4 linked regions of the Ovis aries genome follow. The protein of the gene in region 4 purifies or fractionates together with the protein of the main gene of each other region. This does not show direct contact. Links are inferred from orthologs where the notes say so. Each region holds a gene or a part of one and is shown on either strand. Other genes may lie near its edges. The genes, in order: GIPC1, MYO6, GNA13 and ARHGEF12.

Region 1 (4,360 bases), on a different chromosome or scaffold from region 4:
CTGCCAAGATTCACACTCCCTCCTTTTTCTAGGGCCCCTACATCCTGCTCACCAACTCCCAACTTCCTTAGTCTGCCTACACTTGATGCCCTGGTTCAGGCTGGCTGCATGTCTTACCCAGGACAGGGAAATAATGGTGGTAAGGAAAGTGGGTGGTTTATGAATTTGTTTTCCAGGCCAGAAGAGGCAGAGTGGCCTGGGTTCAAATCCCACCCCTGTCACTTACCAGCTGAGTGGCTGTGGGCAAGTCACTTCACTTGATGGCGCTTTAGTTTCCTCATCTGAAAAATGGGCAGAATTACTGTCTCTCAGAGTGCTTATGGGAATCCAAAGAGTTTATGCAAGTAACTCAATTAGCACTTTGCCTGACATTTGATTTAAGAAAATTATTACTCTCACTGTTATTACTGCCTCTTCCCTTGCCCTGCCCAGGGAGTCCCCTCTGCCTGTCAAGGCCTACTCCTGGCCACCTCCTCCAAGCAGCCTCCTCGGCTTGTCCCTGCCTGTTACAACCACCCCTGTGGTCTAGACAACTCAGGCCCACGGACTTAATTACATGCTGTTCTGGCAGAACCCTTGTCTTCCAGTCTTAGGCTGTTATTTCACTTCATGTCTCTATTTTAAAACATAAACCAGATCGTGTTGCTCCCCAGCCTCAAATCTTACATCAGTTTCCCACGTGATAGAAGAAAAGCTCTAAACTCCTTAATGTGACCCACAGATCCCCACAGAATCACACTGTGGGTTCTCTCCTGCCCCAGCCATACCATGCCAAGCTTGGCCCAGCCTCAGAGCCTTTGCCTTGGCTGTGCCCCCTACCTGATCCTTACAAAGCTGGCTTCTTTTTGTCATTCAGATCTTGGCTCCAAAGTTACCTCCTCCGAGATCCCCCTTTCTTACAGATTCTACCATGCCACTCCCTCATATTTTATTTATAGCATTTATCAACCTCTTGCAAGTGTTTTCTTTATTTACTTGTTATTAACAACTTGTTTGTTGCCTGTTCCCCCCCCCCCCCCATTAGAATGGTAGCTGCCCAAGAGCAGGGATTTCTGTTGTGGTCACTACTGTATCCTCTATGCCAGGAACAGTACCTGGCCTGTGGTGGTGGTGGTGGTTTAGTTGCTAAGTTGTGTCCAACTCTTGCGATGGCCACCAGGCTCCTCTGTCCATGGGATTTCCAGGCAAGAATACTGGAGTGGGTTGCCATTTCCTCCTCCAGGGGATCTTCTCGACCCAGGGATCAAACCTGTGTCTCCTGCACTGGTGGGAGGATGCTTTACCACTGAGCCACCAGGGAAGCCCACCTGGCACATAGCAGGTACTTAATTAATATGTACAGAACGAATGAATAATGTGTCTTACGCCCTCATTCTGACTACTCTCTGAGCCCCTCTAGCCTCAGAACATGCCTACTGTACCGTTTCAAACTGCCACCTCCCCACCACACTCCCAGTCTCCTCTTAAACTTGAACACAGGTATGGAGAAAATGAGCTTCAATTCAGCTAGTGGCACTGAGCAGGTTGGCTGGAATCCCACATCCCTACCCTCTCTTCACTGGGAGGGCCCGGAACTTAACAAGCCTACAGCCACACAGCGTTGCAATGGGAGGAGCAGGAAATGGGAAGGGGGTTCCTGAGAGCTCACACAAGCTGGGAAGGGGACACCACGCCCATGCTCCCCTTTTTGGCAGTGCATTGCTTGGAAGAGGAGGGCAGGAGGCCTCTGAATCAGTCTTGAAAAACCGGCTCATGGGTGTTTCCAGGGAGAATGCCTACTGTCCGCGGCCCAGGCCTCCCTAGGGGCCCAGCAGCCACAGGACCCCAATGGTCCCCACCACCCACCTATTTCTCCCACAGATGTCTCTCTCTTCTTAGGACCCAGTAGTCTGGCCTTGCTTTTCCAGCTTTGGGGAAAAGGGACATGGGGGCAGCTTCCTGTCTGAGCAGCTGGTGAAAACGAAGACCAGCAGGTGTGCCCCAGATGGCTGCCTGGTTGGAGGGAATGGAGTGGGAGGAGCTGGTCAGAAACACCTGAGCCCTGAAGCCACTGGATACCTAGTCTAGTGGCGGAGATTCCAGTTCTGGACTCTGAAGCATGGGTTTGAGTCCCAGATCTGCCACTTACTCGCTGTGTGACCTTAGGCAAGACACTCCACCTCTCTGGGTCTGCTGCTTCACCTCTGAAAGAAGTAACAGCAACTTCCATGAGGGGTGATTCAATGATCCGCATGGTAAATACCTGACACGGAAGTGTTCAATGAATGCTAGCCCGGGTGATTGTTTTCATTATTACAATCGGGACCTCGATCCTCCCAAGGCGCACCCCACCCCCTCGCCAGGCCCTGGACGAGTGGGACAAGGCCAGCTTCGGGGACAAGGCCAGCTTCGGGGACTTGTCAGAAATACCGACTCTGCGCCTGTCCCCACCGGGAGGGGAACTCTCCAGAGGTGCAGGGGGCTGGGGTGCGGCTGGAGACGACATCCCGGCGCCGGGAGGCGTTCACCCCTGACCTTAGAGGGAAGGCAGGCGGTCCTCCGGGAAGGGGACTCGGACGTTTCCCCCCACCCCGTCCCGCCCCTCCACCCCACTCAGCCTAGACCTCCAGCCGCGTCCATGGGGCCGGCCCCACCCCGCAGGATAGGCCGAATCTCCGCGGGTTCGCGATCTCGCGGGTCTGCTCCGGGGTCCCCTCGAGCGGCCGCGATGGACCACCCCCTCGCCCCTGCCTTGCCGGGTATACTCACCTGAGCCTCCTTAGCCGCCGCCCAGCTCGCCCAGCTCGGCCCTCCGCAAACTCTGGCCCGGGCCTCTCCCGCAGCCACCGCCAGGGGGCGGGGCTGGCGCCCGCATCTGGCCAATCAGAAACGGCCGCCCGGCGCTCGCGGCCAATCCACTCCACGCCGCCCCCCTGCGGGTGGAACCCGAAGGAAACATTCCAGAGGGATCCCTGCGCTGCACGCGATTCTTCACGACACCTCCCCCGCCGCGGAGCGTTGGACCTTCCCACCCCTCCTAAGCCGCGGCGGCCTGTTCCACCGCGAGGCGGCGGAAGGGGGAGCTGAGGCCGAGCCCGAGCCAATCTCTGGGAGGAAGGAGGCCAGCGGCCAATGGGAAGCTGGGGCCCCCGGACCACGTGTTCTTGGCTAAGTGTCCGTGTGGGGTGCTGTGGGTGCTAAGAGGCGGGGGACTAGTCGTGGAAGTCAGGTGACCGATACTGAGTTTGGGGGTGGGGAGGGGGAAAGGATACAAACTTCCAAAGTCCAGAAAAGGGAACCCTTTAGGATACCCGGAGGGGGCCAAGGGCGGTCCCTAATCCAGTCCTCCACTTGGCCTGCCCATGTCTCAGCTCGGCCACCCTCAGAGCGGATAAAAAGATGTATTCATTCTGGGCGGGAGGGCGGGGGACTGAGATGAATAGGGAGGGTCCCGCGTGTCCAGCGTCCTGGATGGACAATGGACAAGGGCATTCATTCATTCATTTACTCATCAAATATTTAAGGCGCTCCTGCTCCGTGCCAGGCTCTGTCCTATCTCAACAGATACGTCTACGAGTAAGCTGAATGAATATGCTCTTGGTAAAGGGAACGGGGCATGCAAAGGCTTGGAGGGCGGACAGAGAGATACAGCACACTTTAGGAGAGTGCAATAGCGAAGGAGTTTGCAAAGCAGCTAGCAAAGCATCTTTAGGTTGCAGTGGTACGAAAGACAAGGGCAAAACGGTCTGTTCGCTTGCTGGTTGACCAGTGGATATTTATTGAGCACATATTATGTGCTAGATTACAAAGGATACCCAGCCAACCCAAGTCTCAGCCCTGAGGGAGCTGACATTCACGAGTCTGTCTCCATCTCTGTTCCCTCTCTGTCCCCCACCCTCCAGTCCTGAGAATGGCACAGAGCAGGGTTTCAGTATACATATGTGGATGAAAGAACTAGGTAATCTCACCATCTCCAGGTCTGGCTTGTAACTGAGATTTCTTAGGCAGAAGCAGGTACAAGAAACAAAGACACAAATGCACCCTTCCCAGGCCAGGACAAACCTAGACAGCATATTTAAAAAAAGTGAAGACATCACTTTGCCAACAGAAGTCTGTATAGTCAAAGCTGTGGTTTTTCCAGTTGTCATGTAGAGATGTCAAAGTTGGGCCATAAAGAAGGCTGAGCACCGAATAAGTGATGTTTTCAAACTGTGGTGCTGGAGAAGACTCTTGAGAGTCCATTGAACAGCAAGGAGATCGAACCAGTCAATTCTAAAGGAAATCAACCCTGGATACTCATTGCAAGGACTGATACTGAAGCCCCAGCTTTGGCCACCTGATGCGAACAGCCGATTCACTGGAAAAAACCCTGATGCTGGGG
Region 2 (3,561 bases), on a different chromosome or scaffold from region 4:
AGAACCGCCTGCTGCTGGGTCTCCTCCTCCCGCTGCCGGGCCAGCTGCGCCTCCACCTCTGCCTGCCGGCACAGAAGGCCTTGACGCCGGGCCCCTCTCTCTCTGCTCATCCCCTCACTGTGCACACTTGCTCCATACACGTTTTTTCTTTTTTTTTTTAAACTAAGAAATACATACTCTTTACCCAGAAATCTACCATCTTCTCCCCTTCTATATTATGATTAATGTTTCCTCAAGCCCCAAAGTAAGAATCCGCCATTCTATCACTAGAATATGAGTCTCCCAAACATCACATCAGTAGCCTTGGTGTGACCTGAATACCAACACCTACACTGCAGATTTCAGGAACTTAAAGTATTGGTTGTGTTCAGGATAAATCAGAAAGCCAAGACAGACACTCAAAATAGGATTAATTATTCTCAGACATGGATTTTTTTTTTAAAGATGGTGGCAATAGTGAGAGTATCTTAATCCTAACCTATTAATATTAGCATCTACAAAGTTATAAAATAACATTTAAAAATATTAGATAATTATGTTGTGACTGAATGCTGATCTGACTGTCCCCCTCTAAATGATGACAAACTAATACCTACTAAACAAGGCACTGTTCTAAATGCTTTAATAGGTATTATCTCATTTAATGCTCACAATTATTATTTATCTCCATTCCAGAAAGAAAACTGTGGCCCACAGTCACTCACTGTAACTCCTGCAATATCACGATTTCTGTCAGTGAGAGGCTGGATTTGAACTCACTTCCCTAGCTCCAAAGTCCCTTCCTATAACCACTTCTGAAACTGCCTTTGCTCTCTAGGATAAATCAGTGACAATTTATCTAGTAAATGAAGATCTTCTTTTGTTTTATAGTTTTGCAGATTCTATTTAGTAAGAATTCAGTCTGACTGCCTAGAAAGTACAGACCTGAATACGTTTTTCATCATCTTCTCTTTTCTTTCTTTCTTCTTCTTCTTGTTTTCTCTTTGCTTCCATCTCAAGTTTCCTAAAAAAAAAAAAAAAAAAAAAATTAGAAAACTCTTCAAAAATTAACAGAAAATAAGAAACTCTTCAGAAGAAAGTTTATTAATAAATAAATGTTACAAAATGGGAAGTCAAATTAACCTATTACATTATTAACTTATTTTCTGAAAAATAAAATCTAACTTTGATAGCAGCTCTTTAGAAACAAAAGAAATAATTATATTCCATAACCTTTAACATCTCTGGATTAACTTGGTTACCAAGCGTACTTGTAAGGTCTTAATCACACTGCCTCTCCAATTAGACAACTCATATTCCTTCTGTCTGCCCTACTATGGCAAGCTTCCAAAATTTTATCAGTTTTAAAACTGCAGAAAAGTACTTTCTTCCTAGATCATAAAATAATATGAAAGTCAGTTTCAAAAAGAAGTTAAGAAATCCTCAGGTGTGAGTTTAACCAAAATTCAGATTATAATTAAAATCATTTTATGTTACTGTAAAGTGAGCTTACTTTCTCCATTTTCAAACTTCTTCTAAAATTAGTATTTAAATATAAGAATATCACTTTTACAGATAAGAATATTCATTAACCACCGTCAACACTTCAGAGTTCACTATGGCGTCAGTTTCTAATCCAAGGCAACAACATAAATGCCTTACATCCGCCTTTCCTCCTCCTCCTTCCTTCGACGTTGCTCATCTTCTTCACGTCTTTTTCTTTCTTTTTCCATTTCTTCTTGAATGCGCCTCAGCCTTTCTGCTTCTTCCTCCTGCTGCTTTTTCTTCTGCAGCGCGCTGAGAAGGACCTCTGAGCTTTGAACTAGAGCATCATACTCTTTCTGTATTTGTTCCCTTGTCATCACCGTGGACTGAAAGAAAGAACACAATGGACGTGCACTTAAAAAGTCATCTCTTCTGCTGTACAACAGTTAGAACACACTGAACACCACTGAACTGTACATTTAAAACCTGGTTAAAGTGGTAAGTTTAATGGTATGCGTTTCACACAATTAAGGAAACAAACCACCATGCACAGACACAGCAAAACTGAAAAAGCTGGTAAGCAGGAGGCCCACTATCTTTTTATTGCTTAAATATTAAAGAATACTTAAATTTTAAGTTATCTCTATGAACAAAATTTGAGTCTACTTCCTATCAAGTAATCAAGTATCTTAAGAGTATACTGTGCACAAACTAATATACTGTAGTTAAAGTTTATTTTTTAAGAAATGATTAATTTTGCCAGAATTTACTACTCTTTAATATTAAGGATCAAATAATACATTGGGGATATTTAAGAAATTATCATTATACCCAAAATTGTTGGATGATTTTCTTAAATGTGGCTGGGTTGATTTTAATTGATTAATACCACATAAACAGGGGTGGTTCTGGACAGATCTGTAAAATCAGCTAAGGCTATCCAAAGCATTTTCAGTTTTCTCTTGACTTCTTTCTCCATTCTTACTCCAAGATTTATCATTATCTGTAGAAAATATCTAAAAGTCTCACTTTAAGATATTATATTTCACATAACTGCAATGAATTATGAAAGTCAATGAGAAAAACATTGAGGCCCTAAAATATTACAGAAAATGATACGAATAGATGAACAAAATCAACAAACAAGCACAAAGAAAAAATTTTCAATCCCACTAGTAATCAAACAAAAATCAAAACCAAAGATGCCCTCTCGCTTTTTTTCTTACAAAATATGGGAGAAAATTAATTGTTATTTCGTGAAAGTTAAGTAATTTATGATATAGCCTACATGAAAATAATTTAATAATAGGGACGAGGCAATAACATAATGATAGGAATGTGAAATATAATGTACCTTATAAGAACGGTGCAAAAATATGTGCATATAAAATAAGACTGAGAGGAACATGCAACAGTATATAGGTGAATGTGTTAGTGTGAGGGGTAAAGAAGTGGGGCAGATTTTCTCCAAATTTTTGAGACTATTACTTTTAAAATTTAAAAATTAGTTTCTGAAAGTAGAAAAGCATGAAACAAAATAAAACAATTTGCATTAATTTTCTCTCAGTAATGATTTTGCAAAAGCTTACCAAAAGTATAATATTTTAGTTAATATTTTGGAAAAGTCTTTCCTAGCAACAAATGAATTGCACAAAAATTGTCTTCATTTTAATTTTTTTGCTATGAAAAATTTCAAACACAGAGTAGAGAAAATAAGATGACTATCACTTATCACTGAGACTCAACACATCTAACAGTCTGTATTTTTTTTAAAAAAGGACATTTTTCTATAAAATTTCAATATAGTAACAAAAAATATTAAACTGTTTTTAAAAGTCAAAAGTGATTTGGGTTAAAACTACATACCTTAATTTTGGCCATTAAAGCATCAATAGAAATTTCAAGGTCCTTGACCTGTTTATTCATCTCTGGTTTTCCATCTTTCAATGCATTTACTACTTCATTAAATTTATGGAGCCGTTTTTTCAGTGTGCCCACCTTAACCAGGCCATCAATGCTGCAAAGATAATACTTTATCACTTTAATTCTACCATTTAATCATACAAATAGATTTTTCATTTTAATTAAATGCTAAAA
Region 3 (3,561 bases), on a different chromosome or scaffold from region 4:
CCTTGAGCACACTGCTCATGGCCCCTCCTCTGCTTTAAGGCTCCACTGCTTGCGTTACAGTTGTTGATTCACGTGAGGTTGGCTGGTCTTTCCCCCTCTGTCCTTGAAGGCAGGGACCCTGTGTCTTGGTTCTGAAGAGCTGAGTTCTTGCTGCTTAGCGACAGGGCCTGGCGCCTCGTCGACACTCAGCAAATGCCCTGCAGCCTGCCAGACTCCGCTGCCCTCCACTGTCTCCCAAGTTCGCTCAGAGTCATGTGCAGACCAGTTAATGGCACACTCCACTTTCTCATTATTCCTGAATCGCTGAGCAGGAAACACTTTCCTTTTTTCCAGGAGTACATTCCCTCCCAGCAAGACATCCTGCTCGCCAGAAGGCCCACCAAAGGCATCCATGAGTACGACTTTGAAATCAAGAACGTGCCTTTCAAAATGGTCGACGTGGGCGGCCAGCGGTCAGAGCGGAAGCGCTGGTTCGAGTGCTTCGACAGCGTGACGTCCATACTGTTCCTTGTCTCCTCCAGCGAGTTTGACCAGGTGCTCATGGAGGACCGCCTGACCAACCGCCTGACCGAGTCGCTGAACATTTTTGAAACCATCGTCAATAACCGGGTTTTCAGCAATGTCTCCATAATTCTCTTCTTGAACAAGACAGATTTGCTTGAGGAGAAAGTGCAAATTGTGAGCATCAAAGACTATTTCCTAGAGTTTGAAGGGGACCCCCACTGCTTAAGAGACGTCCAGAAATTCCTGGTGGAGTGCTTCCGCAGCAAGCGCCGGGACCAGCAGCAGAAGCCCCTGTACCACCACTTCACCACCGCCATCAACACCGAGAACATCCGCCTGGTGTTCCGCGACGTCAAGGACACCATCCTGCATGACAACCTCAAGCAGCTGATGCTCCAGTGACGCCCCAAGGGCCCGCCGCCTTCCCGCCTTCCTGTTTTCTGTTCGTTTTATTTTTAAAATAGAAGTTTACAGCAGGAATTAGAACAGTCTTGATTCTGGGTTTAACTCCTTGGAAATCTCAGTCCTCCTCCGGCGACTCTGGCCCCTGGCGGAGGGCTGCCCTCGGCCGACGCCCGTGGGTGCAGCTCCGGCCTCCGTGGACGGGCCCTCCTCCCGCCAGGCCTCAGACACGCTGTCCTTCCGGCTTTGACCCTTCCCCTTCTCAAACAGTGCTCCTGTGGCGCCAAGCATGGCAGGCGCCCTTAGCGCCGCAGGGCGAGCCCGAGGCCGAGCGCGCGCAGGCCCTGGACCGCGCGGGGCGCCGCGGTCGCCGCATGTGGCAGCTGCGCCTGTGCCCAGCCTCGGTGGGCTGGTGGGGAAGGAGGGCCGCTGGGGAAGTTTGCTCTGAGCAGCGGCGGTCCGTAGACCTCCCCGGCTTCGGCCTTCACGTTCTTCTGATTGCTCGTGTCCCCAGCAGTTCTGAGTTTTCTGTGGCTCCTGAAGGCAGTGCTCGGCGTGTGTCTCAGTTCACATAAGGGTGTCTCCTCTGGCGCGGGTGGAAGCTCCCGTGTGGTTCAGGGTGCACAGGCGCGTGCCGTTCCCAGTGTTTTGATCAGAAGCCAAAAGAGTGGAGGGCAGGCTGCCTTTCCCATACTGAGACCTGTCCTCCAGGTGCCATGCAGGAAACACTGGCCGTCACAGCAGCTAGGAAGCGCAGCCTGGCAGCAGAGCTTTCTGAGTAAACCCAGCCCTTCCCGAGGAGAGTTCGTGTTACTCTCAGACTTTGAGCCCCCGGCTCAGACACGGCAGGTCCCACAGTGGGAATCCCTGTCGCACCATCATGGACGTGGTTCGTTCACGCTCCTTCTGTTCCCGTCAGCTCCAGAGGGCAGCATTTATGAGGGGTTTTGGGTTTTTTGGAGCTTGCCAAGGGCAATGTTTTCCTGTCAGACTATCCAGGAAGCCGTTGCTTGAGGTTCTCGTTCCTTCTCGGTGTGTCTCTTCGGAGGCTGTATGTGTTGGCAGCACTGTTGTTCGTGGAATTCCAGCTCTCCTGAGGTGCGTTTGGAAGGTTCAAGGATTCTCTCAAGAATGAGGAGTCGTGTTCAGTTCCTGCTGAAAGATGGTTACGTGTGACCTCCCCCACCACGCCCCCAATTAGAACGCACCCCAGGGAGCTCTGCTGTTAACAGACGCACCCTCTGAGCGCCTCAGAGTGGCTGGGTTTCGGCATTAAGAGGCCCGCCCTGTGGGTTATGTGTGGTGTTGCAGTCGGGTAGAGGAACAGGTGTACAAGGTGAGTTTGGAGAGTCTGGTGGTTTTTCTCCCTTTCCTGAAAACTGTGATTGACTGTGACACCTGCCCCTTCACTGCACAGCTGACTGTGTTCTCAGGTGTTTATAGGCGAGCAGTCCTTGAAAGGCTGGTCAGAGTTCTGGATCCCCCAGCCCTCCCCGGTCGGGCTCTGGGTCTGTGTCGCGGGTGGGTTAGGCTAGGACTCTGCTGGGACCTGACCAGCGCTTGTCGGGCGCCTGACTTTGCTCGCATTTGAAGCTCCTCCATCGCTGCCCCCATAGCTGCCTGTGTGTCCGTGTCCTGGTGATGCTGTGCTGCTGACGTGAGCCCCGCCCTGTGACACAGGCGTCCATGGAGCAGGGCTCGCGCATGTCTGAGCTCTGTGTCCAGTGCTGCTCACTAAACACAAGTGTGTTGTTTAACCTGCAGAGTGAACCATTTCAGGGCACAGCACGTGTGTGTTACACGGAGACTTGGGTGGAGGTCTGTGCGTCAGTTTATCAGGAGGTGGTGTTTCACTCCAGTGAGGGCTAAAGTCAGTTCCGGGTGTGTGCAGTGAGGAGGGATGGTCTCAATCAGGTCCTTGTTCAGATCTCTGATACAAGCCGCACACACTGCCCAGCAAAGCAGAAGTCCCCATTTTGACCACCACAGTCAGATGTTAGAGCACCAAAGAAATGGCATACTATTCTAAGCATTTGAGATTCCTTTCCTGATGGGTGTGGAGTCTCAGAGTCAACTTTCTTTTAAAGTAAAACCTTGAGTATATTCTGAGGCAGTAAATTACTCATACAGGCTTGCTGGTTCAGTCTGAAGGCTTTAGTCACATGTTTTGTGTACTGTATATTTAAACCATGTGAAAGAGTCCTGTACCTGTATCATGAAAACCAGATCTGTTTAAAATACACTGTGTGAAGGGGAGACGGAGATTCGGGGCCAAGCTGCCAGGGTGCCTGCTCCCCCACCCCAGTCTCTAAAAATGTAATTTGAATTTAAAATTCTCCACTGTATTTAACTTTCTAAGTCTTCATGGTTACACTTTGGAGTAAACTGTGCCTAATTCTCCATTACATTCTGTTCTTAGGTCTGAACGTCTTGTTTAATTCTTAAGAAATGTCACACAAGTGTCTTCATTGACCTTGAAGAACCTTACAGTATACAGAGTTGCCTTATAAAGCAAAGAACACCTCAAATTTTGCCTTTTTTTTTTCTTAAATAGGGAAGAGTTTTTGTCAGATATTTTTTCTGAAGATCCAAATAATTTAAAGGCATGCCTCTGCCACTTAAATATTATTTTTAACAACCCACATCATTGCTTGC
Region 4 (4,298 bases):
TTAAACAGGCACTGTTAATTTGCCAATAGCTCTAGAATCAGCAAAATGTACCTAGAGTGCACTGGAGTTAGACCATGAGAAGAGGCTGAGGTAGTTAGGCTGAGAAGAAGATGGGAACTGTTCTATACTAGTAACTTTATTAAGGCAGCCTGGCACAGAAATAACACTAAACCAGTACTTCCAGATTTCACCCCAACATATATTCAAATCAGGGACAACTCTTAAGAGTCAATGGATGCTTGAGATTATGGGGCAAGATATGTTCAAAGAAAAAGTAATAGTCACATAAGAATAAATCTTGTGGTGGCAAAAAAGAAACTAGTAGTAAATTCCTAAGAAATACGAATCCATAATTGTCTCACTAAGGCACATTAAGTGGCTTTTAAAGTCTTTTGTCTTTTAAAAAGTATGTGAAATTAGGCAGTACCTGAACTAATTCAAGTAGATATTAAACCCAAACCAATTTGCAGATTCATCTTAGAATATTCATCTTTTAATCCTTTGTGCCCAGCACAGTGCCTGGCAAAAAAACAGGCAGCATTAACCGCATGTTTATTGTACATTTGTATCTCACCTAAGTTATAAAAAGCAACACAAATACCAAGGTTTTCTTTCCAACATAATGGAAATAGGACATCTCTGAGAAGCAAAGAAGAAGGAAAGATCATTACTTGGGGGCCTTTAGGTGATTTTAATGTGGAATGAGCTGGTGATCCAAGGTTCTGTTTCTACAGAATTAAACACCCTTACTATTGCAATGAAAACTACCAACATATTAGTTTCTAGTAAGACTTGTCTCCAGGGTCAACAGAGAAGGCAAGAATTGAGAGAACCAGGAAAACAATCACCCTTGAAAGTGGCTTCTCAGAGACAAAACACCCTAAAAGAAAAGGAATGGGAATAACCAGAAAAAATCAAAATAAGCATTGTTAATAATGTTAAGTGTACTCTCGGAGAAGTTGAAAATTAAATGCATTTAAAAAAATACACAAACAAAGAATAAATAGTTTAAATATTTAATAGAATCTTTTAGGTGAACATTCACGTGATACTAGGAAGCATCAACAGGAACAGGAAATTCTGTTTCTGGAGTAGCTGTTAGGGTAAGATAATGGAATTTGGCCCTTTTAAAGTCAACAAATGAGTCTTACAATTGGGTGAAACTGTCTTATTAGGGAATTCAACTACTTTTTGCAGAAGCACTTCTCAAAATGCTTTCTTTGCTCCCTAACTTCAGCTATTTGATCTTTTTTTTTTCTTTTTAATGATGTAATGGTTTGAAGGCTGACCAAAAAAAAAATAATAATAACAACTGAAACTTGGGACTTGAATAAGTAAGTAAAGTCACTCAGTCCTGTCCGACTCTTTGTGACCCCGTGGACTGCAGCCCACCAGGCTCCTCAGTCTATGGGATTCTCCAGGCAAGAATACTGGAGTGGGTTGCCATTTCCTTCTCCAGGGGATCTTCCCGACCCAGGGATCGAACCCGGATCTCCCGCATTGGCCGCAGACGCTTTAACCTCTGAGCCATCAGGGAAGCCTGAATACGTTATAATAACACTGAAAAATATGTAGTAAAGAATATGCTTTTATCACTTAAATATTTCAAAGAATAACTCTAAAGAGTAAGGAAACTCACTTAAACCACAAATGGTCTACCTCAATTCACCAAGCAACATAGGTAAGTACTGTAAAAGACTGACCCAACTCAACAAATCCACCTGCCAGCTTCTACTACATAATTCGCTTAGGCCTACACCCCTTAAATGCAAACGTTTCTGGAAAATGAAATCCTAAAAGTGCAATAATTAAAATCAAGCCCCATGATGTTCCCCTGCCTTTTTTTTTTTTTTTTTTAAAGTTCCTTGATATTGTCCCCACCAGGAGACTGGGACTTACTGGTAATTCCAACATTCTGTAAAACTATTAGACAATAAACACTGTGCAAGTCAATGTTTCAAGGATATCAATTTCATAAATCATCAGGCAGTTAGTCTCAGAATGAAGTTCACAAACAGAACAGGGTTTAGGGAACTACAGGACAGGAGTTAAACTTATGAGGGACCAATACCCCAGCCGACCTCCGGCGCTGACCTTCACCCAAAATGACCTTCCTCTGCTTCCAAGAACAGTAATGAATCCTAATGCCCACTACGGACAGAAAAACACAATCGTGGCTTTACCTACCCTTCCTCCGACACTCTGGAAAAGTTTCTCTCCAGAAAAAAAAAAAAAAAAAAAAATTTCCAAATTCAATCAACCGGGTAACTTGGCAGCAACCCCAGACTAACTGCAGAGCTCGGAAACAACCCTCCGTCGGATGCCTGTCAACTTCACTGGGCAAAGGCAATCGGCAATCCTGACTCTCCTGTTAGGTCGGGCCCCATCCAGGGAGGCTAAGCGCAGGGGGGAGCTTCATACCAACCTGTCGGTGATAGTAGACTGTGTGCCACTCATTGGGGCCCTTGGCGAGAGGTCCTCCTTTTATCCAACTTGCATTTTACAGTAACACCTCCACCCCACCCCCAGCGCTCCGGGATCAGGCCCGACTCCGTAGGGGACACCAGAGTCCAACTCAAAACTCCATTCAGTCATCTAGAACGTCCGACTGGCAGAGGTCAAGGAGAGGGGATGCGGGTGGGAGCGAAGCAAGTTATCTCCCCAAACAAACCGAGCAAGTCCGCCAGAAGGCGAGGTCTAAAGCTAGGGAGCGATCCTTGGGAAAGCGCCGGAGAAAACTTCGTCACGGAGGGAAGTCGGCGAGCCGCGCGGGGAACGGACCTCAGGAGTCCGTCCGGGGCAGGATGGGCTCCTCGTCGGGGTCTCGGGGGCCTGCAAATCCCCGCCGCCGAGCCGGGGCCCGCTGGCTTCTGCTTTCTATCTGGGGCTGCCGGCCGCTCGTGGCCGCGGTCTCGGCCGCGTCTCGGGCCGCCCCGCGTCAGCCGCGCGCGGCTCCATGGCCCCGGGCCGGGGGACCCCTCTCGTCGTCCTCGCCGCCCCCCACCAGGCTCCGGATGCCGGGACGAGCACGAGCGCCGGGGGAGGAGGTTCCGCAGCCGGAGGTGACAGGAACCTGGTCTCTCAGCCCCGCGGGCTGCTCCCCATCCCTCGGAGGCCCGGGCTCTTCCGCGGTCGGCGAAGGCGGCGGCGGCGGCGGCGGTGGCTCCTCCCCGACGCGCCGGTAGGCGGCGGTTCCCGCGAGGGGCGGGAGGTTCCCGTCTGACCCGGCCTGGAAGCACTGGCCCGGGAGGCCGGCGGCGACCCCGGCGACTCGGAACGCAGGGCCGGCTAGCCGGGTCCTGGGGCTCTCGCGGGAGCGCGCGCGGCGGGCGGAGGAGGCCGCCGGCGGTGGAGGGGGCCGCGAGACAACCGCAGGCGCGCGCGCGGGTTCCGGTTCCGGTTCTGCCTTCCCGGCCCCTGCCGCATCCAGCGCGAGCGCTCGCCCTTCCCCTCCCCCGCCGACTTTTTTTGGCCTCCTCCCCTCTGACTTCGGGAAGCCGCCTCACCCGGGATCCCTCCGCGGCGCGCGGGGCGGCCCCAGCCCCCAGCTCTCGCCACCCCGCGCGCCGCCTCCGCTCACCGGCCGCGGGTGCGCGCCGCCCCCGCGCGGACGCCTCCGCCGGAATCTTGTGGGGGGAGAGCGAAAAAGTAGTTCTGTGGGGGCAGAAGGAGGTGGGCACCGTGCGACCCTGAGAGTCCCACGCGCCAACCTAAGGTTGTCCCAGGGAGCCCACGAATGCCGGAGGTTGCTACTTTGGGGTCTAGCTTGCCCTAACTCGGCTTTCCCCCAGAGAGCACGCCCCCAGTCCCGAGGAGTTGAGGATGAGAGAGGAGGCTCTTTGGAAATTACTCACCCCCTTGTCCTAGAAACTTGTATTCCTTAAGGGAGCATACTTGTTCTTTTCTGATAACACGCACAGACTGTTTTTGGCGAATGGAAGCAAACTCAGGTCCGGCTGCCCGGACCCCGCTGCTCTCTGGTGAATCAGACCCCAGCAGAGAGAGGTTTTGGCCTTGGCCGCTCACCTGGGGCACCTGCTGGCCTCGGCCCAGGGCAGGGGCTGCCGCGCAAAAAAGTCTTGGCTGCCGGCGGAGGGTTGGAGGATGGAAGTGTATAGGAATGGGGAGACAGTTTGGGAACTGGAGCCAGGATTTCTTCGTATAAGGTTGCTTTTAGGCTGCTTCTGCCTTGGCAAAATAAAATGTGTTATTTGCCAAATTGAGCAAGCATGGTGCTTTCCACAGCGGCTTAACAAGCTTGCTGTGGAAAGAAATGGGAGCGGGGAGGGGGGGGGGCA

Evidence for each region.
Region 1: the proteins of ARHGEF12 (region 4) and GIPC1 purify together in Homo sapiens (co-immunoprecipitation; 4 studies listed by BioGRID and IntAct, with this or other methods). This does not show direct contact. The link is inferred for Ovis aries from reciprocal best matches to the Homo sapiens genes ARHGEF12 and GIPC1.
Region 2: the proteins of ARHGEF12 (region 4) and MYO6 purify together in Homo sapiens (affinity purification with mass spectrometry; 4 studies listed by BioGRID and IntAct, counting the BioPlex papers as one, with this or other methods). This does not show direct contact. The link is inferred for Ovis aries from reciprocal best matches to the Homo sapiens genes ARHGEF12 and MYO6.
Region 3: the proteins of ARHGEF12 (region 4) and GNA13 purify together in Homo sapiens (affinity purification with western blotting; 3 studies listed by BioGRID). This does not show direct contact. The link is inferred for Ovis aries from reciprocal best matches to the Homo sapiens genes ARHGEF12 and GNA13.

Annotation. Positions count from the first base shown.
Region 1 is NC_056058.1:9,603,937-9,608,296, reverse strand, and holds the start of GIPC1 (PDZ domain-containing protein GIPC1), read right to left. Parts: upstream 2,819-4,360; 5' UTR 2,749-2,818; intron 2,243-2,748; 5' UTR 2,234-2,242; coding exon 2,129-2,233; exon of another isoform or gene 2,059-2,128; intron 1,993-2,058; exon of another isoform or gene 1,846-1,992; intron 1,308-1,845; exon of another isoform or gene 1,095-1,307; intron 282-1,094; exon of another isoform or gene 227-281; intron 1-226. UniProt on the Homo sapiens protein: May be involved in G protein-linked signaling.
Region 2 is NC_056061.1:2,724,021-2,727,581, reverse strand, and holds part of MYO6 (unconventional myosin-VI), read right to left. Parts: intron 3,482-3,561; coding exon 3,331-3,481; intron 1,851-3,330; coding exon 1,642-1,850; intron 1,004-1,641; coding exon 925-1,003; intron 63-924; coding exon 1-62. UniProt on the Homo sapiens protein: Myosins are actin-based motor molecules with ATPase activity. Unconventional myosins serve in intracellular movements. Myosin 6 is a reverse-direction motor protein that moves towards the minus-end of actin filaments.
Region 3 is NC_056064.1:61,101,863-61,105,423, reverse strand, and holds part of GNA13 (guanine nucleotide-binding protein subunit alpha-13), read left to right. Parts: intron 1-333; coding exon 334-906; 3' UTR 907-3,561. UniProt on the Homo sapiens protein: Guanine nucleotide-binding proteins (G proteins) are involved as modulators or transducers in various transmembrane signaling systems.
Region 4 is NC_056068.1:30,638,056-30,642,353, reverse strand, and holds the start of ARHGEF12 (rho guanine nucleotide exchange factor 12), read right to left. Parts: upstream 2,857-4,298; 5' UTR 2,458-2,856; coding exon 2,426-2,457; exon of another isoform or gene 2,188-2,425; intron 1-2,187. UniProt on the Homo sapiens protein: May play a role in the regulation of RhoA GTPase by guanine nucleotide-binding alpha-12 (GNA12) and alpha-13 (GNA13). Acts as guanine nucleotide exchange factor (GEF) for RhoA GTPase and may act as GTPase-activating protein (GAP) for GNA12 and GNA13.